4 linked regions of the Schizosaccharomyces pombe genome follow. The protein of the gene in region 4 binds, or shares a complex with, the protein of the main gene of each other region. Each region holds a gene or a part of one and is shown on either strand. Other genes may lie near its edges. The genes, in order: mrps8, rsm25, mrp4 and fyv4.

The links.
Region 1: fyv4 (region 4) and mrps8 share a complex: the UniProt entries of both Schizosaccharomyces pombe proteins name them as parts of the mitochondrial small ribosomal subunit.
Region 2: fyv4 (region 4) and rsm25 share a complex: the UniProt entries of both Schizosaccharomyces pombe proteins name them as parts of the mitochondrial small ribosomal subunit.
Region 3: fyv4 (region 4) and mrp4 share a complex: the UniProt entries of both Schizosaccharomyces pombe proteins name them as parts of the mitochondrial small ribosomal subunit.

What each region holds. Positions count from the first base shown.
Region 1 is NC_003421.2:329,082-334,189, forward strand, and holds mrps8 (mitochondrial 37S ribosomal protein uS8m), read right to left. Parts: upstream 3,486-5,108; 5' UTR 3,403-3,485; coding exon 2,944-3,402; 3' UTR 2,399-2,943; downstream 1-2,398. Other genes in the region: DNA-binding transcription factor, CBF1/Su(H)/LAG-1 family Cbf11, read left to right, coding at 1-380; tfx1 (translin family protein), read right to left, coding at 668-1,363; ago1 (argonaute), read left to right, coding at 5,056-5,108. UniProt on the Schizosaccharomyces pombe protein: Component of the mitochondrial ribosome (mitoribosome), a dedicated translation machinery responsible for the synthesis of mitochondrial genome-encoded proteins, including at least some of the essential transmembrane subunits of the mitochondrial respiratory chain.
Region 2 is NC_003423.3:4,290,396-4,295,735, forward strand, and holds rsm25 (mitochondrial 37S ribosomal protein mS23), read right to left. Parts: upstream 1,568-5,340; 5' UTR 1,294-1,567; coding exon 631-1,293; 3' UTR 501-630; downstream 1-500. Other genes in the region: nucleoporin Rae1, read left to right, coding at 1-77; PPR repeat-containing protein Ppr7, read left to right, coding at 3,202-5,178. UniProt on the Schizosaccharomyces pombe protein: Component of the mitochondrial ribosome (mitoribosome), a dedicated translation machinery responsible for the synthesis of mitochondrial genome-encoded proteins, including at least some of the essential transmembrane subunits of the mitochondrial respiratory chain.
Region 3 is NC_003424.3:3,064,241-3,069,565, reverse strand, and holds mrp4 (mitochondrial 37S ribosomal protein uS2m), read left to right. Parts: upstream 1-3,299; 5' UTR 3,300-3,356; coding exon 3,357-4,148; 3' UTR 4,149-4,240; downstream 4,241-5,325. Other genes in the region: sgd1 (ribosome small subunit biogenesis protein), read right to left, coding at 512-784, 832-1,152, 1,196-2,859, 2,909-2,978; SPOM_SPAC24C9.09 (threonine--tRNA (Thr) ligase), read right to left, coding at 4,375-5,325. UniProt on the Schizosaccharomyces pombe protein: Component of the mitochondrial ribosome (mitoribosome), a dedicated translation machinery responsible for the synthesis of mitochondrial genome-encoded proteins, including at least some of the essential transmembrane subunits of the mitochondrial respiratory chain.
Region 4 is NC_003423.3:3,430,987-3,438,801, reverse strand, and holds fyv4 (mitochondrial 37S ribosomal protein mS41 ), read right to left. Parts: upstream 5,135-7,815; 5' UTR 5,077-5,134; coding exon 4,983-5,076; exon of another isoform or gene 4,933-4,982; coding exon 4,685-4,932; 3' UTR 4,575-4,684; coding exon of another isoform or gene 4,242-4,574; 3' UTR 3,975-4,241; coding exon of another isoform or gene 2,430-3,974; 3' UTR 1,294-2,429; downstream 1-1,293. Other genes in the region: syj1 (inositol-1,4,5-trisphosphate 5-phosphatase 1), read right to left, coding at 1-1,249; plasma membrane pantothenate transmembrane transporter Liz1, read left to right, coding at 2,430-3,974; SPOM_SPBC4B4.12C (uncharacterized protein), read left to right, coding at 4,242-4,574; autophagy-associated protein Atg5, read left to right, coding at 5,612-5,710, 5,797-5,915, 5,962-6,136, 6,208-6,600; U1 snRNP-associated protein Prp39, read right to left, coding at 6,828-7,231, 7,301-7,588, 7,626-7,815. UniProt on the Schizosaccharomyces pombe protein: Component of the mitochondrial ribosome (mitoribosome), a dedicated translation machinery responsible for the synthesis of mitochondrial genome-encoded proteins, including at least some of the essential transmembrane subunits of the mitochondrial respiratory chain.

The sequences.
Region 1 (5,108 bases), on a different chromosome or scaffold from region 4:
GGACTATAGTGGGCATATCACATTTTGACTGTACGATGATGTTACCATTCAATCAAAATCCTGTACCAACGGTTACTGATTATCCATATATTGAAGAGCCACCCGAATATTTGGAGAGCTCGCGCTCATTACAATTTAAAATTGGAGGCTATTCGGTCGGATTACAAATTTGGCTAGGTGTTCATGGACCATTGTCGTATAGTTTTACCGCAGCTGCTGATACGAGTACAATGGGTACGGTCACTCTAGGTCTGTCGCAAATTTCATATGATCCTTCTTGTGCAGAACAAAAGTATCCTTTGTTGTTCGTGATTCCAGGTGGGATTGTCATTATTGGAAAATGCGAGATTTTGCTAACGTCAAGTGCTTTTGGAAACTGATGCATCATGATTAATTTTACGTGTGGTTTCATATGGCGAAATATTGAAATACAATTTGTTTTCAAAATGATGGAATTAGGTTGAAATCTCTCTTATTAAATGAACTTTATATTGTACAAACATCCTAGCTTATGGAAACTCTAACATATAGAAAGCAGCGGAAGCTTTTGATAAGATAATTGAATCGTCGAAAATATGTACTTAATAATTATGATTTTCAAAAGCTGCAAAACAGAAAAACTTTTAATAAACTAGTAAGGTGTCTGTCGAGAGCTGTCGATCATATATTATGTGGACCGTAATCGTTTCTCCTCGGGAGGAGTTGCTGTATCCACTTCCAAATTTAAATATCTTTTATCTGCTTCTCTTAAAATTTTACTATAGCAAATTCCTTCAACTTTTGAAATGCTGTTCTCCATTACTGATAATTTCTGCTGTAATTCTGACTTGACCTTAGATGGTAAGTGTTCAATTTCTGAGCAGTTTTTGTGTAGTCCACGAAGAAATTTAACTTGCTGAGTGAGTTGTTGGACAGAGAACTTAGAGCCGTTGGTTACAAGGAATCTCATTATTTCACCAGTCATGTCACAAACACCGAGTACATAGTCGATGAAATTAATAGAAATTCTAAAGCTACTATCTTTACAAGAAAGTAACGTACCTGTTTGTAACCAGAATTTGAAAGTGACAGCTTCAACATACTCTTGAAGGCCGTGTGTACAAGCAGAAGAGAACTTGTCTGCATTTAATCCAGCCAACTCTCTCTTCAGACTTTCTAGTTCTTTGTGAATTTTTTTTTCAAAAATGGATGTTCTGTCGAAATCCTTGGGTAGAGGAAATCCATCAGAAGAGGATGTTTGATGTAAAAGAAAGATCATTCGTTTACTTTGAATTGTGATTTCACGAGAAAGACGAATAATTTTCTCCCTCTTATCTTGATCCTCCTGTAAAAAATTTTTAAATGAGAGGAATTCCTCTTCCATATTTGGCAAATTCGGTTAAAGTTTTATAATATCCTCAATTCAGCAAAGCCGTGTGGAAGGTATAAATGTATAAGTCTATATTATCAATTGAATTAAATGCAAATCAAGATGACTATTTGTTGTTTAAGAGACGAAATATTGTTTAGTGGATCATTGAGTAAGGTTAGTTGGCTCTGTGCTATGAAATTGAAATAGTGATTTGAGCTGCAGCAGGACAATCGACCATGTATGGAATGAAGAGAAAATATTGTTAATAAAGATCGGTTAATAGGAATAATGAATTTTTTTGGTTATTTAAATTTACTGTGGACTAAAGCCATTTGCTTCTGACAATAAAATCTTGAACATGTGAAAATAATAAATATATAAAGAAAGAAATTTGAGCTTTGCTTGAACAATTCTGAAAATAACTACCCAAGTTTTTTGTCATTTCCACGTGTTATTTAGTTATATTTCTTAAAAAGAGTCCCGTCCTTTTTATATTTACAACATCATTAGTATTTAAAATAAATCTTAGCCTACTTAAAATCCAAGGCGCAAATGATTGTTTATCACAGCATAAATTCTTGCAATTAACGAAAGAGTGTACATTCATCAATCAATCATTTTACTAAATAACAATGCCGATGAAAACAGACTCAATACTGCTTAATTACTCAAATACATTACCAGGATTGCCCAGTTAAAGAGTATGTAGAGAAAGATATTATTCCTACTCAGCGTTGGCACAAAATTCATTGTGTTAAATGCTTTATTTACAAAGCTGTAATTGCTGATAAAAAGTGTCACAAACCGGGATCGAACCGATGACCAACAGATCTTCAGTCTGTCATGCTCCCAACTACACCATTGCGACTAGTTGTTATCCATAGTCATTATAGATCTAAATAAATTGTATTCTTAATAATGGTTTTATAATATATTTTTCAAATGCAGTATTGACAAATACATATCCTTGTCATTCACAGATTATACATTTGTAAATACTTCCTATGTACTTAATCAACCTTATTTAATTTACACAATGCTTTAGAAGTCGCATACAATCTCCATCGATTATATATTTTATAAAACGATTTTCCTTATGTATTTTAAACATGTTTATCATTACATTACTAGAGTAACACAAATATTTTTTCTATTCCAAAAAAGCTTCTGCGGGTATAATTTTAAGCATATGGAATATTGTGAGTTGACAAAAGGAGACGGGATAAATTCAGGTGTAAAAAAACATTTATTCGTAAATCACAAGTCGAATAATAGTAAAACAAAAGGATTTATGTTTTGGCGGAATGGGAATTAAGACTATGTTTTTTAATGAATGGGATGTGTAAATATGCAGTATCTCAATTCACAAACTATTATGAAAGGAGTGGGAGATTTAAAAGGAATTCTGCCATTGATCCTTAGCTGAAGAGAAGGAAAACTTAAACATATTAGTTTAAATCTAACCAGCCTGTTAGATATTGCTTCAATTTTCAAAACAAATGAGTAATGTTTATTCTCTTATTAACATAGAGAAAGGAGACAATGTATCCGGAAAGAAGTTGTACGTAATAATAACTTTTTCCATCGAAGCCTCATTTAACTCGACATATAACGTTTCCTCCCAAATTATTCTTAATTGCATCGTCAATACTCATTATACCATGTTTAGTTTCTACAATTCCAACTTCTGCAGGCTCCAACCCATTCACAAAGCTAACTTTCCTTCCTTTGGCAAATTGCAACAACTCAGAAGGAGTCAAGTTCACCTTTCTACTAGGCTTTGATACTGCACGTATGTAGTGAAGAACCGGTTTTCCCTCAAAGTACTTTAAACCCAACCATAGACGGCGGGTCGCTACATTTTGCCTAGTGGTGATTGTGGGTAAAGCATCGGGTCCATGAATATCTCCGCGTTGAATCGAGCTTAAAAATCCTTGATGATACAAAACAGCACATAACTCGAGCACACTGTTACAGTTAGGAACGCTTGCTAACGACTTGCGAGCGCGAAATGAATTTTGCAAATGCGAAAAAACATAATGCAATTGCATTTCGACTTTTTTAACACAATCCTAATCTTTTATAAGCAGTCCAACAATAAAAGCCTTTTTTTTCTATACAGAATGGTGTTTTGAGGAAAGAAAAGAGGTATGAATGCAGTTTAGCTAGTCACTTCCAAATACCTCTCTCTGTACTGGAAGAATAGTAAGTAGTGAACGGTGTAGCTAGTGTTACACACTATTAGCAAGTTAATGGACATTGCAGTAATCACTGGATAGTAGTATATTAACGACACGATACTAAAGTTCACAATAAATCACTATATAATAAACTAAAAGCACCGGTTTACTATGTTTGGAAAACAAGGCGCAAAATTGCAAAACCAACGGTTATTACGGCAAAAGCCGTCTACCAAATGTTAGAGATTTACTTTGTACAGAATAAAATATGGATCTAAATCGCTGTGTCAATCTGTTAATATTATAGCATTCAAATTACCATGAAACCCACAAAGTTGTCAGAAGTGGGAAGCGAATTTTTGTGCGTTTAGTAGTTCCAAAATCCTCGAAAGGTATTCGCAAATGTAATAATCGAAAAAATTATAATAAGCAGTGTTCAAAAAAACAAGCGGTACAACAGCGAACGCCTGTAAAATATAGGGATGTAAAAAAGCATTTGAATACAATGTAAATTCACAATTGTATAGGATTATAAAAATTTTTTATAAAATAATGGCATAACGAATTCTTTACTGATATTTTAATTACAGAAAAGAAAACGTGAATTGAAAACAAAAGCCTAACAGTATGGAGAACGATTTATAATGCTTCTTTATGTGGCCGATCGTCCAGAAATTACTGATTTACTCAGTATAATATATTGATTTAATTAAGTTTCGCTTCTTAAAAAGGTTGTTAGTTTCGGTAAGCTGTTTAACGAGTATTACACAAAGCACAAGGCATTTTAATTTCATAAAAAAATGTCCGTTTTAATTTGAAAGACGTTCGAAATCAACACTTTTCAAAAATCAGTGCAATTACCGAAATCATTTACTTGAAAGTTGCCAGATTAATATTCTCAAAAGCAGGTTGTAAAAATGTATTATAACTATAAAGAGGATTTCAAGCAAGCAAATATAACAAGAAAAAGAAAACAAGTAGTAATCATTGATTTTGAACCTCCCGGTATTGTTAATATAGAACTAGTAAACAAATAGTAATTCAATGTACTATAATTTTCGTCAATGGTTACAAATAACAATTGGGTTCACTTTTATTGAATCACAACCACGATATAAAGAAAGAAGGGTTAAAACTCAAAAATCCGTCGATTTGGAACCTTTAAAAAAACATAAACCTATACAAAATTATGCGGTAATTTAAGAAAAGCTGTTAAAGATAAGCTTATATTTCTTATGTTCAGAAATTAAATAAGACTTATGTTGCGTTTGCGTGCTCAGAGAAGTATAGAAATAGACCTTAGTATATAGAAAATTCGAATGTATTAAGCATGTAAATAACAAAGTGATAAATAAAATATTTTCTTGATAGTTTTTTGATTTAATATAGTTTATAACTCAAGTAGGTTTTATATACAAGACAACTATGATGAGTCCTAATCTAGGGTTTGGTATATATAAGCTTCCAACCGCCAAAGCGAATTGTCTTCAGCCAACTCGTCCTTTATGATTCAGAGTGAGTAGGATGTCGTATAAACCAAGCTCAGAAATAGCTTTACGTCCCGGTTATGGAGGGTT
Region 2 (5,340 bases), 860 kb from region 4:
CGCAATTGCCCAATAAAATCATGCTCCACCCTGTTCCGCAAGACGAAATAAAACCTCGACCTAAGAAAGGAAGGTAAATGATGGTAATTTTTAGAGTCTACATAGGTGAGATGGTGACCAATCCTGTTGAGGCATGAGTTTGGTTTTTTTGATATGTATCTTAACTTTTTGTTTGGGAAAAAAAGTGGCATTTCGTGATTCATGACTAAAATCAATTACTGGCAATCGTTTAATATTAGAAAAATTTTTCCTTTCCTGACAAAAAGTGTTATGGGTATAGACGCTATCATCTTCTTATCTATGTTGGCTGCTCAATAAATGATGAACTTTTTTTAAAGCACTTTTAAAAGTTTGGAGCGAAAGTTCGCTAGCTGGCTAAACGGCAGTGTCATCTGAAAAGCTTGCTATAGCTTTGAATAATATTTATAATATATATATATGTATTCAAATAGATGGTAGAAATTTAATGTGTTCTGATAGATTGTTTTAATTTGAAGACATAAAGAGATGAAAAATATCTGTTTTATTTTTGAAAGGGGATAGTACTAAGAAAATTCTGAAAAAAAAAAAAACAAAACAAAAATCAATTTTTGAGGAGACAATATGATATATCAGCTGTGAATTTAAATACTACTGAGTCGTCTTAGAGATATCTACACTCGGGTCTGTGAACTTTGTACGATTAGCCTCAGCGTATTGTGAAGCATTATCAAACCAAGAATTTAAAGCATTTTGATCCATTTCATAGCCCAACTCCAGATCAGATTTTGTAAATACAGCACCCAATGCTTGAGCCTGATCATGGGCAACGCGTTGCTGAATTTCTTGTTCAGCGCGTAGGTGATAAAATTCCTTTCTTGCTTGATCATAAGCATTTTCTACAGGCATGTTAGAGTTTTCAATCAGCCATAAAGTTCTTTGCACTACACTCTCGCCAGATAATGCTTTGCGCGGTTGATCCATGTGACTCCAATCACAATATTGCTGATCATTACCGTCATTTTCTGCAATGATTTGAGGCCTTGCTAGTTCCCAAGGATGATCTCGATAAAACCTTTTACGGAGTTTATCTTCTGGCCATTGAATTTCCTGAGGCTGATACATTGATTTTCGTAACCGTTTACCACGGGATTTTACCTTATTTGGATCGTACAATGGTACAATACGTCTAGCATATTGAAAGGTTGGGGGATGTTTAGCAACCGTTTCGTACCATAAAGACTCTGCTGTCCATGGCTTTTTCATTTCAGCTGCAAAGCTGCGTAGCAAACCATTTGCATTAAATTTCGGCATTGGATCTTCCTCCTGAAAAAGTTATTAAATAGTATATTAGTAAAATAATCAGTAATAGAAACGTGAAAATGGAAGTAAGGATTGAATAATGATTGAGATGGGTTAATTATGCAAAACACATCCACGGCGCTATAAATAATGGAGAGTATGACTTGAGGTAATAAACAATCGCTTATATGGATAGTCTGCTAAAAAAGTGAATTATAAGCGCAAGAAACCAACTTTTTTGGTGAAAATGGCTTCCAAGAGGAATTGGGCTGGCCAAGCTAGTGTTAGCTGACGGTACTAGTGTGCCTCATCTTAGTAGCTACTGAGTATAACCTAATGGTAAGATATTATGAATATTTATTTCAGAACACACAAGGATACGAACACTATTAATGAAATAGTTATTTATAAATTTAAACACATCTATTGCCTTTTTTTTGCTAAGATATGGCTTGTTTGTAAATTCGGAATTTAAACTAAGCGATTGTTCATCTAAATTAATTTTATGGATTGAAAGTCCCTATTATTTTTTAGATATTTTTTTTATAATTGCTAAAGGTATATAGAGTTTATTGCCTTTATTTTTTTATATTTTTTTATCAATCGTTAACGCCATAGGAAAGCAAGTTAAACTGCTTAAAAATTTTTTAATACTTAAAAATTTTTTGTTATGGAATAAACTTTTTTTTTTTTATACTTTTAATTTTCACTGATTTCATTAAATATTTACCGGCAGCCGTTAGAATTATTAATAACAATGGTTCAAAAAACTCCAAAAAAATTTTAAGATTAATTAGACAAAATCAATTATATGTTTCGTAAAGCAAATTAAATGGCTGTACTGTATTTGTGAAGCTGTATGCGTATTTGCTAATTTGATTTTGTCATAAACTGACTGAGTAAATTAGCGCAGCAAATGCCGCTACACCTAGCATGTTCTGAAGTGAAAATGAAGTGCTGCAAATATTTAAAGCCATTGATCGTACAGTATTATTATGAATGGACATCAACTACTTGAATTCTTGCCTGCTCATACATTTTTAGCAGTTATTTTCATTTCTTCACTTATAACGCAGTCATATTTATACTCCGTATTTGATTTTACCTGCTAGCTGGCAATCTCAATGCTAGAATACGATATTCGCTTCTGGATGATGAGTGTTATATAACCTAGGTAAGGTTAATCTGTAGCTTATAACGAAGAAGTAAGGTAAATAGACTACACTTGTGTTCTTTGACGAAAGTGTATTCGATGATATTGTAAATGCTGATTAAATACTAATGAGTCAACAAACGTGCCTAAATGCTGGTTGCATTCAATGCCATTCCTATATATGATGATGGCCGATTGATCGTTATTCATTAGCGATTCTTAAGAGGATCGATGAATGATAGTTTAATAGTTTAGAGGGATATTCTGCATTTAATTATATTAAGGGACCTCTTTTTTACTCATGAATGTTCTTTCCATGTTTACACAATAACGAGCTATTATAACAAAATAACGTAAATAAACTATAGCGATGGTTTCCGTTAATTCACTAACGCTGCCTGTTAATGAGGAAATAGCAATCTTAGGTTTTGCTTAGAACCCAACTTCGCAACGTTGGAAGGTTTGCTCAGTTAGCTGTATTTATACCACCTTCTGTTTTTTGGAAACCTTGGATGAAATGTTTAGATGCATTATTGAGCCTTTTCGCACAGTTTAATGTTTGAATTATCGCATCATATAGAAAGGGAACGGAAGTATATGCATCATCTCGTATCGAGTTCTCGTTTTCTTTTTTTATCAAGTACCCCCTTCTCTCATTAATAGTGATCCTTTTAATTTGATTATCGTTTCTTTTCTTCATAACGCGTCTTTTCGTTTCCACGCCTCTCGTTTTGGGGACGACTTTTGTCTGCTTGCCAGGCTAAGAGATGCGAAATTGTGTATCTCCACTACTTTTTGCATGGACAAAACATTTACGTTTAAGGGAATTTAAAATCCCTTTCCCAAATCGTCTTGTTGTGCGGTCACTAAACCAGCTTAGCGTTCATCATGAAAAGGTAACTGGGTGCAGGCCTCGACAAGCGTCTTCTGATGAATTACATAAATACTCGAAATCTGCTTCAAACGAAGCATTTCTCTCAAGTTTTGCAGAAAATCAATTATTTCACAAGTGTTTGCCTTCCAGCGCAGGTGCTGTTCTTAGTGAAAACGATTTAATGTACATTATCCGAAAAGTCAGTGAAGTCTATGCTGATAATAAAACTGAAAAGGTTACTGTGCCTTTTGACAAACATAAAAACCCATTCCTAATTTACGTGAAAAAACGGTTTGCCGAATGTTTTGATAAAAATCCTGATCTTTGCCTCATTGTGTATTCAAAACTGGAGGTTGAAACGTTGGCAAAAATAACTCCCATTTGGATTAATGTCGCCAAAAAAAATAAAAAAGAAGATTTTCTTGTTGAACTCTGCCTCCGTTTTTTAGAACGATTCCGTTCATGCAATTTGACTGAACAAGCAATCTTATATCAAAATTTTCGAGAAAACTGGTGGAGTAACATTAAGTTACCCCAAAATCTCAAAAGTCTGTACGTTGAATTGTGTTTGGTGTATCATTTCCATAATTCCCATCTTGGGATGGATTCCTCTACAGTCTCTAATTTAAAACGCTTCTGCTTCTCAGAGTCATTAGGTCATATATTTGCTCCTTTGAGATTCCAAAATCAACAGCTTCCTTTGCAACACGTTTATGCGTTTTTGTTTTCCATAGCATATCGTGATAACCAAGTTGATACTGCTCATTTTCTTTATAAACAGTGGTCTCGTGCAGGCATGGGACCATTGCCAAAAGATGCATTTATAAAATTTGTACAATTACTCTCAAAAAACCGTAATTGGGTTTTAATGCGCGATATTGTTCAGCTGGAAGAATACAATAGTTATCTTCTCGACCATCGAATAGTTTCGGCATTTCTTAAACCATTATCAGAAAAAGGTAACTACAAAGACATACTGAGTCTGATTTCAGTTTGGCAGCATTCTGTTTGGCGACCTTCATTGGCGTATCTTCAAGTTGTTTATTCTTTTTCCATGCGAGCTCTACTAGTTAACCGTCAATACTCTTCTGCTTTTGCATTTTTCTGGAAAATTGACCCGTATATTCGAAACGAACGTTTAGTGTCTCAAATGTTACAAGCCGCAAGTCAGCTTCATTATCACGATTTAATTTTATACGTTATAAATACCTACTATTCTGGTAACATTATGAAGAATTTGGGCAACAAAGATTTGATTTGTATAACGCAAAGTTCACCTCCTTGTAATATATCTGGAATTAAGCCGGGAAGCTTAAAGTTGTCTCCAACCACCAATACGGTTTTAGCGAAATCGATTTGTTACTGGCTGAACGATGCCATGGCTTTGCTTTTTTTATTAGAGAATCAACTAAATTGCAAGCATTCCCTCTTTCAGAGAAAGTCTCTTATAATCCTCTTGAATGGTATTCTCAATTGCCCTCATTCGTCGTACGACCTTCAATTTCGTGCTGTGTCTCTCCTAACGGGACGTATAAGGCTGAATGTCGATTTTGAGGTCTCGGTTTTGGCGTCCCAACTCGTTTTTTTTGTCAAACATCGAGATTTTAAGCGTACCTTAATTACCATGAAAGCTATATCCAAGTTGCAAAAAAACTTTGACGTTCGAATATGGAACTATTGGCTGGTTGCCCTAATTCAGCAGAAGCTTTATTCTAGAGCCGTTAAAGTGTATTCCAAACTTATTTGTTCTTCCGCAGTACGAAATGATACAACTCGCTCTCTGATTCGACTCATTCCCAAATCGTATTTCAAAAGTTATCCTCTCCTTAAAGAATCAGAGACCGAAAAAAAAACAAATTCTGCACTTTAACTGCGTAATGTTTTTAAAAGTTCAAGCTTTTGTGAATTATTAACTTTTATTATTAATTTCTCCACTCTCTTACAACACCTTGATGTACAACATTTCCTTGGTTGTTGATTTCATGATAATTTGCCAAATGATCCGTTCATTCACTCATTCTGCTCTTTTTTT
Region 3 (5,325 bases), on a different chromosome or scaffold from region 4:
GTCAATAATAATTAGTATCTGACTCAGTAAGTAAGCTTTGCCCTTTCTTCGTTTCTTTGCAAAATTGATTTGGTTACATGAGTAATAGTGTCTAGAAATATGTCTATACCCATGTGTGTGTCTCTCAACAGAAACCATTACTAATTTTATTTAATTCTCTTTATTGTTTATGTTTTAGCTTCAACTCTAATTTTTGGCCAAAATGCCAATTTTCATAATATCATTTTGCATCCGGTTTCCTTATAATAGTTGTTTAATTGGTTAAGTCAAAGTAAGTATGCAGGTAAATCATGAATTCTTTATAGTATATGTTCAATGTTGCAATATTATAGTTTATGTTTAGACAATGTCAAGCATAAATAAGCTTAATAATGATAACCAACTTACTGAAGGTGTATATATGTGTCAGTTTTCAAACCAAAACCTTTTTATTTATAACCGTAACCCTAAGTTTTTATGAATAGTATAGTATACGATATACTATATATGTACATAAGAAAATGATGAAAACTCAAATTTCTTCTTTGGAAATGCTCTGTAAAATGGCGCTAGCCATCGCAAGATTAGACTTGAACAGAGCTTTTTTAGAATTATCCACTAAAGGATTTTTCCGAACATAAGTTTTTAAGAACCAATCCACTTTCGATGAAAGGTTTTTCTCTGCTTTGCAGTTTTCAAATATTTTTACGAGTTGTAAATCGTCTTTAACTCCCAAAATTATATCGGTAAAAAAGACCAGTAAAAACGTTTGCATTTGGGCATTAATGGCCATAAAATCCACATGCTAAAATTGAGTTAGTAATTACAATCAAATTTTTAGAATATACGTACTTTGAGGATAGTTAAGGGCTGTGCAGCTTCAATGACTAAAGACGCATAAAGCTTCGCCAAGTTAACTATGCGTCTCATGGATATTTCTCTTTCTTCACTATCATCATCTGGTTGTAGTTCATTAAAGAAATCCCAAAGAGAGAATTGAAATGACTTTTTCAAATTGTGCTGCAATGTACAACATTTTAACGCTACCAAACCATAAAACGGGTTATACAATTTCTCATTACCAACGCAATGCAAAATTACATAAGCTATTTCAGGTAATTGATTCCTTTTGAGATGCAACTTCAGCACTCTTTCCCATGCATCAATGTAGTCCTAAGTTTGTTAGTTTAAAGTTAATGAAATTTAGAACGAATACCTCTGAACCAACAAGGGCAACGAATATCGAAGTTCGAAGAGTTGAATTCAATCTTAACTTCTTAGCAGCTTGTAAAATTTTTGAATGGGCCGTCAGTTCTTCTGATTTTTTCTTATCCTGTAATGCTTCAGTAGATAATGTGTTGTCACCAGATGGAACATTATTCCAAGAAGCTCCAACAAGCCACCATCGACCTTTCGTCTCAATCTGCTCAATATCTTCTAAAGTAACTCGTAAAGGCTCTCTAGCATTTAATGAGCGGTTGCCTAACGAACCCAAAAATTTCTTTAGCTGATTTACAGCTTCAAATTTAGATTGGGCGCTAGCATTGGCAACTTTTGTTTTTTTGTTTTCTTTAAGATTAGTGATCGATTCTACCATAAACTTTGTACGGACAGATATGGTTGATGGATCAGCTGAAGCTAATAACAAATTCATTTCCGTAACAATATCTTGGAGAGACGTCGGGTCATCTGATCGCAACTGCCCTCCACAATTGAGGACAATTTTGAGCAGCATTTCAACGTTCAATTCGGTTAAAGAGCGTAAAAAAAGGCGAATCAAATCATAAACAAGAACACATGAAACAAGTTGAAAATTATACAACTCAACAAAAAATACAATCAAGTTAGAAGTCTCCTTATGGGAAGAAAGAGGTTCTTTCTCTTTTGATTTATAAAGCTGCAAAAAACGTTCCACTAGGGTTTGCAATAGATGAGCACCAAAGTCATTGCCTACAATGCGGTAAAGAGCAGTGGCTAACGCAGCATATACTATGGCCAATTGATCTAGCATAGATTCTCTTCCCATTACGGTTTGTAGTAGCAAATTGGTGATGGTAGACGTGACTGAGTGTCTTGAATTTTCCATGTAAAGGACTTCAATCTCCTTAATAATTGAAGAAATATTTGCGATAGACAATTTGTTTAGCGATCCTTGTAATTTCCGACGAAGTCGCAGAGCATCTTCTGACTCCTTATCTCCCCCTAATTTTTTCCGTAAAGATGGAGGGACATACTTTGAGCCGACGTTCGCATTAGGTAAGGATGGGACTGCAGGCTTCAAAGGATCCATCCGAATCGGCTTAGTTTCAGGTTGATGGAATTCATCAGAATTAGACTCAAACCCATGAAACTCTTCCTCCTCCTCACCCGAATTTCCTTCCCTTTCACTTTCCAACTCATCAACGCTACCATGGTCACCTGTATCGTCTGAAACTTCAGAGTCTTCTGAATGACCATATGAAGGATCTTCAGTGCCCGGAACGCCTATGTCATCAATTTCTTGATCTAGGTCTTCTAAAAGCCATCCAAATTCCTTGTCAATTTTTGAGTGAGCAGATTTATCTTTGCTTTTGATGCCAAGCATCTTTTCTAAATGAGCGATTTCACGATCATCCTCTTCCAAAGCAATCTTATGCTGAAAAGCAATGGGATCGAGTAATTTACTCTCCTTTGCCTGTTTATTCTGTGAAGATTTTTTTTTTGTAGATGACTTTCTGTGAGCATCTAAGTAATCATCATTAAGTTCAGAAGACTTACTATCACCTTCTTCTGTAATCTTCCGGTTTTCATAACCATTTTTTCCTCGAGAGATCCTAGCAAATTTTCTTTTTTCACGATGAGGTAGATTATGATTTCGCTTTCCCCGCCTAGCACTCGAATCTATCAATTTGGTTAAATATACTGACCAAATCTATAAAAAAAAGCTTACCAGATTCTCCTATCTCTTCTAAAATACTTTTGGGCAGTTTTAAGCTTCTGCTTTTTTTAATTGGCCTCATACTATCGAATGTTTAAATATTAAACAAACGATAATTAATACTAAAGCTCAAGAACTACCAAATTTTTCAATTAAACGATACCAAAAACTGGTATAATTGCTTTACAAAGAGAAGAATTGGGCCTCAGTCTCGAGTTGGCGTATCGTTTCAAATGAATTTCACAACACTGCTAATGGAACTGTATACAATATCGCAATTTGTTAATGCTATTTAAAGTTGTCACTCTGCTGCTGTATTTTACATTAACGCTCTATGTAGTATCACACTAATAAAGCATATCGAAGTGGAAATGTTGCAATCGTGCAGCGATTTCAAAGTCTTAAAGTACTACTACACCAAACGGGCTTTCATTTTGCTCGAGTCATTCGTGTCTGTATTATGCTTTCACGGAAATTATCACCGGAGCAACTTGTAGCTCGTCGTTTAAAAATACGTGACTGGAATCACAAAATAGGTGCAGTTGTAGCTCCCCATTATTCACCGACATTATCCATTCGAAATCCGGCACCTCCTAGTCAACTTAGTCTTCCTTTATTGTTGTCTTCTGGTGCTCATTTAGGACACTCTACATCCATATGGAATCCTTACACGCAGCCCTTTATATATGGTAAAAGAGAAGGTATTCACATAATATCATTGGATCAAACCATGGTTTACCTACGAAGAGCTATATCCGTCGTTAGATCAATAGCTAAAGAAAATGGAATTATATTGTTCATTGGCACCAGAAACGGCCAGAAAGATTCTGTCGTTGCTGCTGCCAAACGTGCTAGAGGTTATCACATATTTGATCGTTGGCTACCAGGACTTCTCACCAATGCCAGAGAAGTACAAGGAAAGCTTGGCGGTTCAATTTTATGTAAAGATAATAGAGGGAAATTGATTCAAACTGATAAAAAACCAAGTTATGTCTTTCCTGATTTGATGGTTATACTAAACCCATTAGAAAACAAAAGTGCTTGTCTAGAGGCACAGAAAACTCATGTTCCAACAATTGGAATCATTGATACTGATGCGGATCCAAGGATGGTTACCTATCCTATTCCAGCAAATGATGATTCTTTACGGTGTACAGATTTAATAGCTGGTTTACTGAGTAGGGTAGCTGAGCAAGAGTACCAAAAAGCTAACCAAGCCTTCGAAAAAGATAAATTTACACTTCCTTTATGATTCCCCTCTCATTGTTTTGAAAATGCCTGTATTCTTTGATTTTTCTAAACATGATTAAAGATAAGGTCTGATTAATTTTCACTAGTATTCAATAAAATTAATGATTCGTAAACGAAAGGTTAAAAAGAAAGAATAAATTATTATGGATAACGTATATATCACATTTCAATGATTTGATGCCAAAATTTTTGTTAAAGACAGACATATTTTGCTGTGCGAAAGGAAATCATCGGTATGCTTTCACATTTTCTATAAACTCTTTTTTCAATTGTTGAATAGTCATCTTTCTAGTATCCCTTGAATTATGATTGTGTCTACTAGATACACTGAGAATTTCTTTGTCAACTTCGTCTTCTCCAATGACAATTTCATAATTATAATTTAAAAGTCTTGATTCACGTAGCCGTTTGCCAATAGATTGTGCTTCAGCGTTTATGTCCACATAATAGGTATTTTTATTGAGTGGGAGAAATTCAGATTCATTGACTTCCTGATTAGACAATTCCTTTTGTACTTGCTTAGCATAAGTTAGAATTCGATCTGTTTGATTGACTGGTAAAATGACAGCATGTCTAGGACTTAGCCAAAATGGCCAGTGTCCATTTAAATGCTCGATAAGGATTCCCATAAAGCGCTCTAAGGATCCAAATATAGCACGATGAATCATTACAGGTTGTTTAATGAGTTTCTCAGACCCGGCATTGTCTCCCGCATCTGTGCGATAATATAATTTAAATCGTTGAGGTAAATTAAAATCTAATTGAATAGTTGCCGTTTGATGCCACTTTCCACGAGCATCTGCAACCATTACATCGATCTTAGGACCGTAAAAAGCACCATCTCCTTCATTGATGATCCACGTTTCACCACTTTCTTGTAAAGCCTCTCGCAACCCGTTTTCTGCTTCATTCCATGTATCTAAAGAACCGATATGCTCTTCAGGTCGGGTGCTAAGGTATAGTTTTAGTTTGTTCATTCCCAATAAAGAATAAACTTGCTTCACAAAAGTGAGAGTATTTTTTATCTCGTCTTTTATGCTCTCGGGTGAACAAAAGATATGACCATCATCTTGATGAAAGCATCTTAATCTAGTTAGTCCAGAAAGTGCGCCTGATGCTTCATTCCTATGTAATGGACTGAAATCTGCAAACCGCAAGGGTAATTCTTTGTAAGAACG
Region 4 (7,815 bases):
TGCGAAAAACACCATCTTGTACCACAATGGATTGTCCTTCGTTGTTCTCAAAATAAAACCCGAAAGTTTCTGCATCGCTATAAATCATTGGGCGTATTTTATTGGCATCTTCAAAGGATCTAATTTGAGAATGATAGTCAAACTCCGTTAAATGTATTAAATCTTTTTCCGGAGAAAGTTGAATATGCTGTCTCAGACGCTCAGATAAACTGCGTTCTCCCGAACCTGTCCCTAAAAGATTGATTATGTGCACTGGTCCGTATTCTTCAATAAGACTGGTAAAGTGTTTTTCAAAAGCAGCTCGAGTTGCTTCTAAAGAGCGAGTTATATCAATTTTTTGACCAAACATTTGAACACCTTCTTGTTCCCAAAAAATTGGAATACTGCCACGGACCTGACAATAGCTTACACAGTATTTAGAGGAATCGAGGATTGTCTCCGTCTCAACAAAGTTAGCAACGTTTCCATCATCATCTACGCCACGTGACAAGAATCGGGTACCAGCGCGAAGCGAAGACAGTCTAGATATTAAAGAAAGCCGAATAGTCTGAATTCCTAACTTAAATTGTTCGGTGCTCGCAAAACCTCTGATGGCACATGTAAAGAAGCGACATCCATCCAATGCACTCTTTTCATCCCCATTCAAATGGGAGCGAAATTTGATCAACTGTCTAAGCATAAATTCGTTCCACATAAATTGAGTATGCATGCTATCATATTGAGGCTCCGTCATTGTTTGAGACGTACGAAGTTGCAGTCGGGTAGTAATGTCAAAATCGAGAGAAAAGTAAAATGATCCATTTGTTAATAGCTTTCTGAGACTACTGAATGGTTCAGCGGCATACTTGTAAGAATCATAGCCTTGGGTATCGGTATCGTAACCATCCGGAATATCAGGCGAGTAATTTTCTTGTCGAATGTGATCCCAGTTTGAACGATTAACACTGTAAAAGCAGACCTCCATGATACGAAAAACTCTTTCTTTATCTCGCACACGTGCTACCTCACTAGCTCCACTAATCACGCACAAAAAATTGGACCCTTCTAATTCAATCAGACCTAGAGTACCATAAATTCGATGACTGGAGATTTTTCGAAATCCTTCTAACGGCTTTTCTGACAATGCCGTAAATTCTGCAACACATACTGATAAAGAGTTTTTGTTCTGAGGAACCGAATGAAACATAAGAGCATGGTCCTTATTGACTAAGGCCAAGGATCTTGGCTTTTCCCTCAGCAGACATTGCATCTTAAGATTCACAAATGTGAACTATAAATAATAAAATTCGTTCTGTAATGAACGATGCAAGTCTTTACCAACGATGTTTGTCCGAACAAGTTATAAATCTTGGGATACGAAGTTGGGTGGTGTTGGGTGACAAAAACGTTCGTTACTTAAACATTATAGAAGCGCTTCTGTAAATTAGAATAAGTAAACGGCTTATTTTAATTTACTATGTTAAAATGTATTCCAAAAAATTTTGGTTCTAATATATGGAAGTTTCTGGTCAATTTTTAAAGTGCATTTGCTTTACAAAACTCGTAACCCTTGTAAACATATTTCATTGATTATGGGTAGAAAACCATTGAAACAAGAAAATCATAAGAGAAGCGATCTTGCTAAAACGTAACGTAACAGGATTTCAAGGCACTTCCATAAGATTGGTACTGTCAAAAAATGTATTATAATTCACTTTCGTTCATCAACAGTGCCATTGTTAATTTCAAAAACACCAAGTTGCACAAGAATACAGCGGTTACTCCAACGTATTAAAAATAAAAGTCAAACAGATACAGTATTCGGCAGAAAAAACCCCCATCTTAAGAGCTAAGATTATTTGAGCTCTCCGAAGATGTTCGCTGACGCTGAATAGCTTCAACTATGGCAATTTTTTACATTTCAAATGTGTTGGTTACTGTAATAGTATGTTTAATCTCGCAAATAGTGGTTATTGTATTGTAGCCACTTGAACCGAATGCTTATTAATTGAAAGGTTAGATGTTTTTTGCAATACAGTTAATTTCCACAAATAGAGCAGCAAAGTATAGTACTCATTGTGGCTACGTCGAGAATAAGTATCCAACTTGCTAGCCAATTCCGAGTAATCAGCGCACATCTAAAAATTAAGATTGGGTTTCCGGCATTGATATTGTCACTTTTTAGAAGGCTCGATCGATACTTATAATCTTGATTTTTCAGAAAAATTAAAGAAAAAATTTTCCTGGCTGGAGCATATTGATATTCCAACAGTCTGCAATTCGATTTTGACTCGAAGTGTTTGTTCCTTGCTTAGGTCCCTGGCTTTACTTTAATATAGGCACTTTTCATGAGAATCCATTGAAATTGTACGTTTTCTAAAGCCATAAAAATTTAAGTTAGGTCTCCTCTGTAAATTGTCGTGAATATTTCATAAGTGAGACAAGTCGTAATGGCGTTACTAAATAGGTTGGCAAAAACCTTTTCCCCTTATTATGGATTAAACAAAGTTGAACAAAAGCTTTTAATAAAAATAGATTGGTTCATACTTTCTTACTGTTGCGTTTCATATTTTATTAATTACTTGGATAGATCATCAATAAACAATGCATACCTTAGTGGTATGCAAGAGGATTTGAAAATGCATGGTAATGAATTGCAAGATATAAACGTTGTTTTTACATGTGGATACATTATAGGACAATTGCCAGGTTCTTATGCATTACAGAGAGTACCAGCAAGACTTTGGTTTTCGGTTATGAATATTTTATGGGGACTTATGACGATTTTTTCATTTGCGGTACATTCCGTTCGAGCATTGATGATTTTACGCTTTTTCATGGCGGTTGCGGAGGCATCTACATTTGCTGGTACGCATTATATATTGGGCGCATGGTACAAAGAAAGTGAACTATGCAAACGTGCCGGAATTTTTTCAGCCTCTGGTTTAGTCGGCACAATGTTTGCTGGGTATTTGCAAACAGCAGTTCATTCATCATTAAATGGTAAAGGTGGTTTATCTGGTTGGCGTTGGCTTTTTATAATTGATGGCATTTTGACGATTCCTCTTTCATTATATGGGCTCTTTCTGTTTCCTGACGTTCCAGAAACAACCAAGGCTCCTTATTTTACAGAACAAGAAAAAGAATTAAGTTTCAAAAGGCTACCCGCTCGCCCCAAGAAGAAGCCATTAACGCTAAAAGCGATAAAGGATATTGTACGTTCATGGCGAATTTACGGTTTGTGCATCCTTTGGATTTTTAGCGGAGAAACACAAGCTATAGCTGTCAATGTATTGATGGGTCAGTGGATGAAATGGAGCAACAAATTTTCTGTTGCCCAAATAAATAATTACCCAACTGTGATTACAGCTGTTGGCGTAGTATCAACGTTAGGTGCTAGTGTTATTTCTGATAAATTAGCTGGAAACCCAAGATGGCCTTTTGGACTTTTTCTGTGCGTAATTACTACTGTTTCTGCTACAATACTTCTAGCATGGAACGTGCCAGATGGCGCAAAATTCTTTGCTTATTTCGCTTCTGGTTGTACATATGCTGGACAAGCAGTTTGGTTTTCTTGGGCAAATGACATTTGCCGGGATAATGATCAGGAAAGAGGAGTTGTTGTGTTTTTGATGAATATGTGTCAGAATATCTGGCATATTTGGTGGGCACCTATAATGTATCCCAATACTGATACGCCTCGATTTATAAAAGGATTAATTGGTTTGCTGGTGGTAGGAGGAATAGTCTTTGTTAGCTCTTGTATTGTTAGTTACATGCAAATCCGCGATAAAAGAATTAAACGATCCATCCAGGATGCAAAAGATTTCGATGATGTATTCACTGAGCATGAAAGTTTAGAGTTAAAAAAAATAGGCAAAAATGATGAGGAATCACTCAACACAACTAATGCGGTCAAAGAAATTAGTTCTCCAGGGCTTGTGATAACGCGACAGCGAATTTCCATGCCAAAAGAAACGAATGCCCAAGATTAGTACTAGAAGATTAATGACATAGTATAAATATTCCTTATGCCTTTAAGTACACATTTAGAGTAAATTTGCTGTTCATATTGATATCAACCTAACATAAAAATTTACCACAGTTGGCTCATCTAATTGACCAAGCCCTTTGACGCAAACGCAAACGAATACCTTTGCACACATACTCAAAAAGAATCTGCTAACAAACGATTTAAGGTGCAGCTGAAGTTAAAAATTTATAACCATTAAATAGAAATACCAACTATACGTATAGTTTGGATGGTATCCGGCAATGATCAACAAGTTATTGAGTATACATCAGTCCTAAAGGAATTTAGCGATGGTGTAGACTTAATGGAGCTAAAAGAAAATTTTTTATATATTAGGACTAGAGAAAAAATTGAAGCTAAATTAATCTGGGCAGGAGAGTGGGAATGGAAGCCCGTGAACGAAACAAATGAAAATAACTTGGAAAGAGGGAGACAATACCCTAGCGCCAATTCCGCACTAATGGAAAATTCTCCAGAATTTGCTAAATGGTTTCATGGACAATTGTTTAATCGGCTTTGCGTTCTAGGCTCCACATCTTCGTCGAGAAAAGACATGCTTTGAACAGTGTTGGCTATTTTAAGCAAATTTTAGATTAATTCGAACTCAAGCAAAAACTCAACTACAAAAAGAAGAAAGAATGTCTCAAAAGAATATAATATTCCATATACTTATTATTTACGTTTGCGTCGCTCACCTCCATTCTTTTTAACCATAACTGGATATGGCTTAACTATAAACCCTTCTTTAAATCGGTTTCTTTGGCTTGCAATGTATTTCCTTGTACGTACATCAATACCTTCCTTTTTCATAGTTTTTGTACTTTTCCTAAATAGACCATCCCAAGACTCGAATTTTCCGTTCACTTTTTCTGCAGTATCTCTTCCAATTCTTTTAAAGAAATCATTTGTATTAGAAATCCCTGAATCTTGTTAGGAATTTAAATTGCACTAATGTTTTGAAATCTCATACCTGATCTTGGACTAGGAACAGTAGAGGCATACCGGCAGTTAGAAAAAGGAAATATAAAATTTCTTATAATGAAAATCCTCTTCAAGATCAACATATTTACCAGTATTGTTTTAAAAATATTTGGTTGTTTAAATAAGTTGTGTACAGTTTCTGGAACGTATGCGAAAGTCTCACAAACGTACTAGCGACTCATAGTGCGACCATGTCAAGCTTAGTGCCTGCAATTATTAGCTATATAAATCCTTGCTTTTAATTCTTTTATGAGATTTACTGCATGCAAACTTTCAAGTCCCTTGAATATCTCAAACTTCTACTTCCGAAAAGTCATTACGTGTCTATTAACTAATCAATACAGTGAATCTACAAATTCCTAATTGCGGTTTTTGTATAGCAGGAACTCGTATTTTGAACATATAAATTACCAGTTATATTTTCGGGTGAATTTTTTGAAGACTCTACTATGTGTATTTAAAGCCCACTTACTTTAATTGTAAAAACATTAATTTAACTAATTATAGTGAATGTCTGACTCTAAGCTATTTATCAACGCATTCCAACCACCCACGAGTTTGTTAAGTATACAACAAAAGCACAATTTCTAATCACAGTATTGGAGATGTTTTTTAAAAATGAATGTCGATAATAATAAAGGCAATATTCCAGAGCTCCTTTGGAATGGCACTATTTCTGTGCGCATTGATTATGAAGGTAATTCTCTGGCCTATCTAGTATGTGATTTGTTCACTCAAGTAGTAATTTAATATTCTTTAACTCAATTTATTTTTTCCTTTTTGCTCACCATATTCTACCTAAGGCTAACGTCCCGCGACAATCATATTTTGCTCAAATACTCCCAAATGTTCAACGTCTGTTGGCACCTTCAATCCCTTTATCAGAATGTTGGTTGGATTATAATGGGGTTCCTCTTAAATGGTATCGTTTACCCAAAGTAACTTTCCGTAAATTAATCATAATATAGGCATTGGCCTGTTGGCTTACTTTTCGATTTGTTAACAGTGTTTGATCCGGATACTCCTCGAGCGCCGGTGCTATGGCGCATTCAATTGCGCTCAGGTCTATTTCCTACAACCAAAATACTTCAAATGGAAACCATGGATACTTTTCGAACATATTTTTTCAACTGCTTAAAAGAGGTGCGTTCTCTATCACAAAAACATATATGATTTATTTACAAAAGGGGTAAATCCATATTAACTTTTTACAGTCTGATTACGTTCGTAACGGAAGTTCGTCTGGAATAATCGCTCTTTCAAAGGCAGAAACAGACACCTACTGGAATGCAATACTCAATCATGATTACTATGATTTCCGTCCCATTGCTATAAAAATACTTTTTTCAAAATCCAAATTCATTCCTTTAAAAATTTATTTAGGGGCCAATGCTCCTATTATACAAACTTCTGCACCTCTTGGTAGTTCTCTTGGTGAGTTTCTCAATAAACGCCTTCCCGACTTGTTTCCATCATGTGATAAATTCTTAATAGTTAAACCAGTTATTCATGGTATTACAATTTTTCTTCAGAGCGTTTTAGACGAGCTCAATCGAGATTTCTGTTACATTGATGGGTTTTTACATATTGTTTTAATGAAAGTTTAAAACATTTACGTCTCTTCTCTAGCTCCTTTAGATAATTTGTTATTCATGTACAAATAATTTTAAGATTTGTATACCCATGCAGTCTAGCAATGACTTTACAATGACATTAAGGTGCGTTTGAGTACTCCTTTCCCTAAACAAACTGCTTTTTAAGAAGTAGGAAATGCAACGAGATATAGCATTGATAATTTGACTATGAAAATTTCTTTTTAATGAGAAGTCGTAGATTATGAAGACCCATTGGCAGCAACACCAGATGTTACTGTCTCAACAACACCCTGAAGACGGTAATATTTCTCATATGGAGATTCACCAGACTTGATTTTTGCTTCATTCACAGAAATACCAGGGTGACCGTTAGTGCTTAAAAGCCTAGTACTAACCTGTTTCAAATCTTGTCCTTCATCGAGCTTTTTCCAGTGGGATTCCCGTACACTAAAAGGCCCAAAGACATCTCGATCAATTAATAAGTATTCCTGTAAAACTGAAGGATCGTTGGATTGGTGGCAAAGATATTCCATGTATAGCTTTGTAAGATCCATTATCGTCCTTGGCGGTAACCTTGTTTTATTTCTAATCATTTCCATTACATTAGAGACACGGGCGTGATGTTCAGTATAGTTTTTGCTGTCTGGAAAATATGTAAGCCACAATGTACATTGATGTATAATTGAGTGTAAAACACAAAACAACTACTTACTTAAAGGCTGCTCTAACTCAAACCGAAGAAAAGATATCCAAAAATGACGGCAATCCAATAAAGCTGGTGCATTTTGTAAAAACATATTCCTTGCAAGTTCAATGTCCCCTTCAATTTTCCAAACTAGTTTGATGTCCTCCGTAATTAATACTTCAGTAATGCCTGTATTACATTTTCCTTCATTTATTATACTCCGCAAAACTGCATGTGCGTTGGTTAAATCGTAATTGGGGGCATTTCTTCTTTCTAAACCAACCCATCCTAACACTGCTTCGAGATTTCCAGGAACTATACGTTAATGTTAAATTTTGTAAAAATTACTTACGTTGAGTTAAAATGGACTGGTAGATTGCTTTAGCTGAAGCTATGTTGCCTTGGGATTCCTCAAAAAGAGCATATTGCACTCGGATTCCTGGTCTCGATATTGAAGCAAAAATGCAAGATGCACGTTCATAAATTATAGAAACATCGTTAAGATGGTCAGGTTGGGCTGACATCCACCTTGCATATCTGAA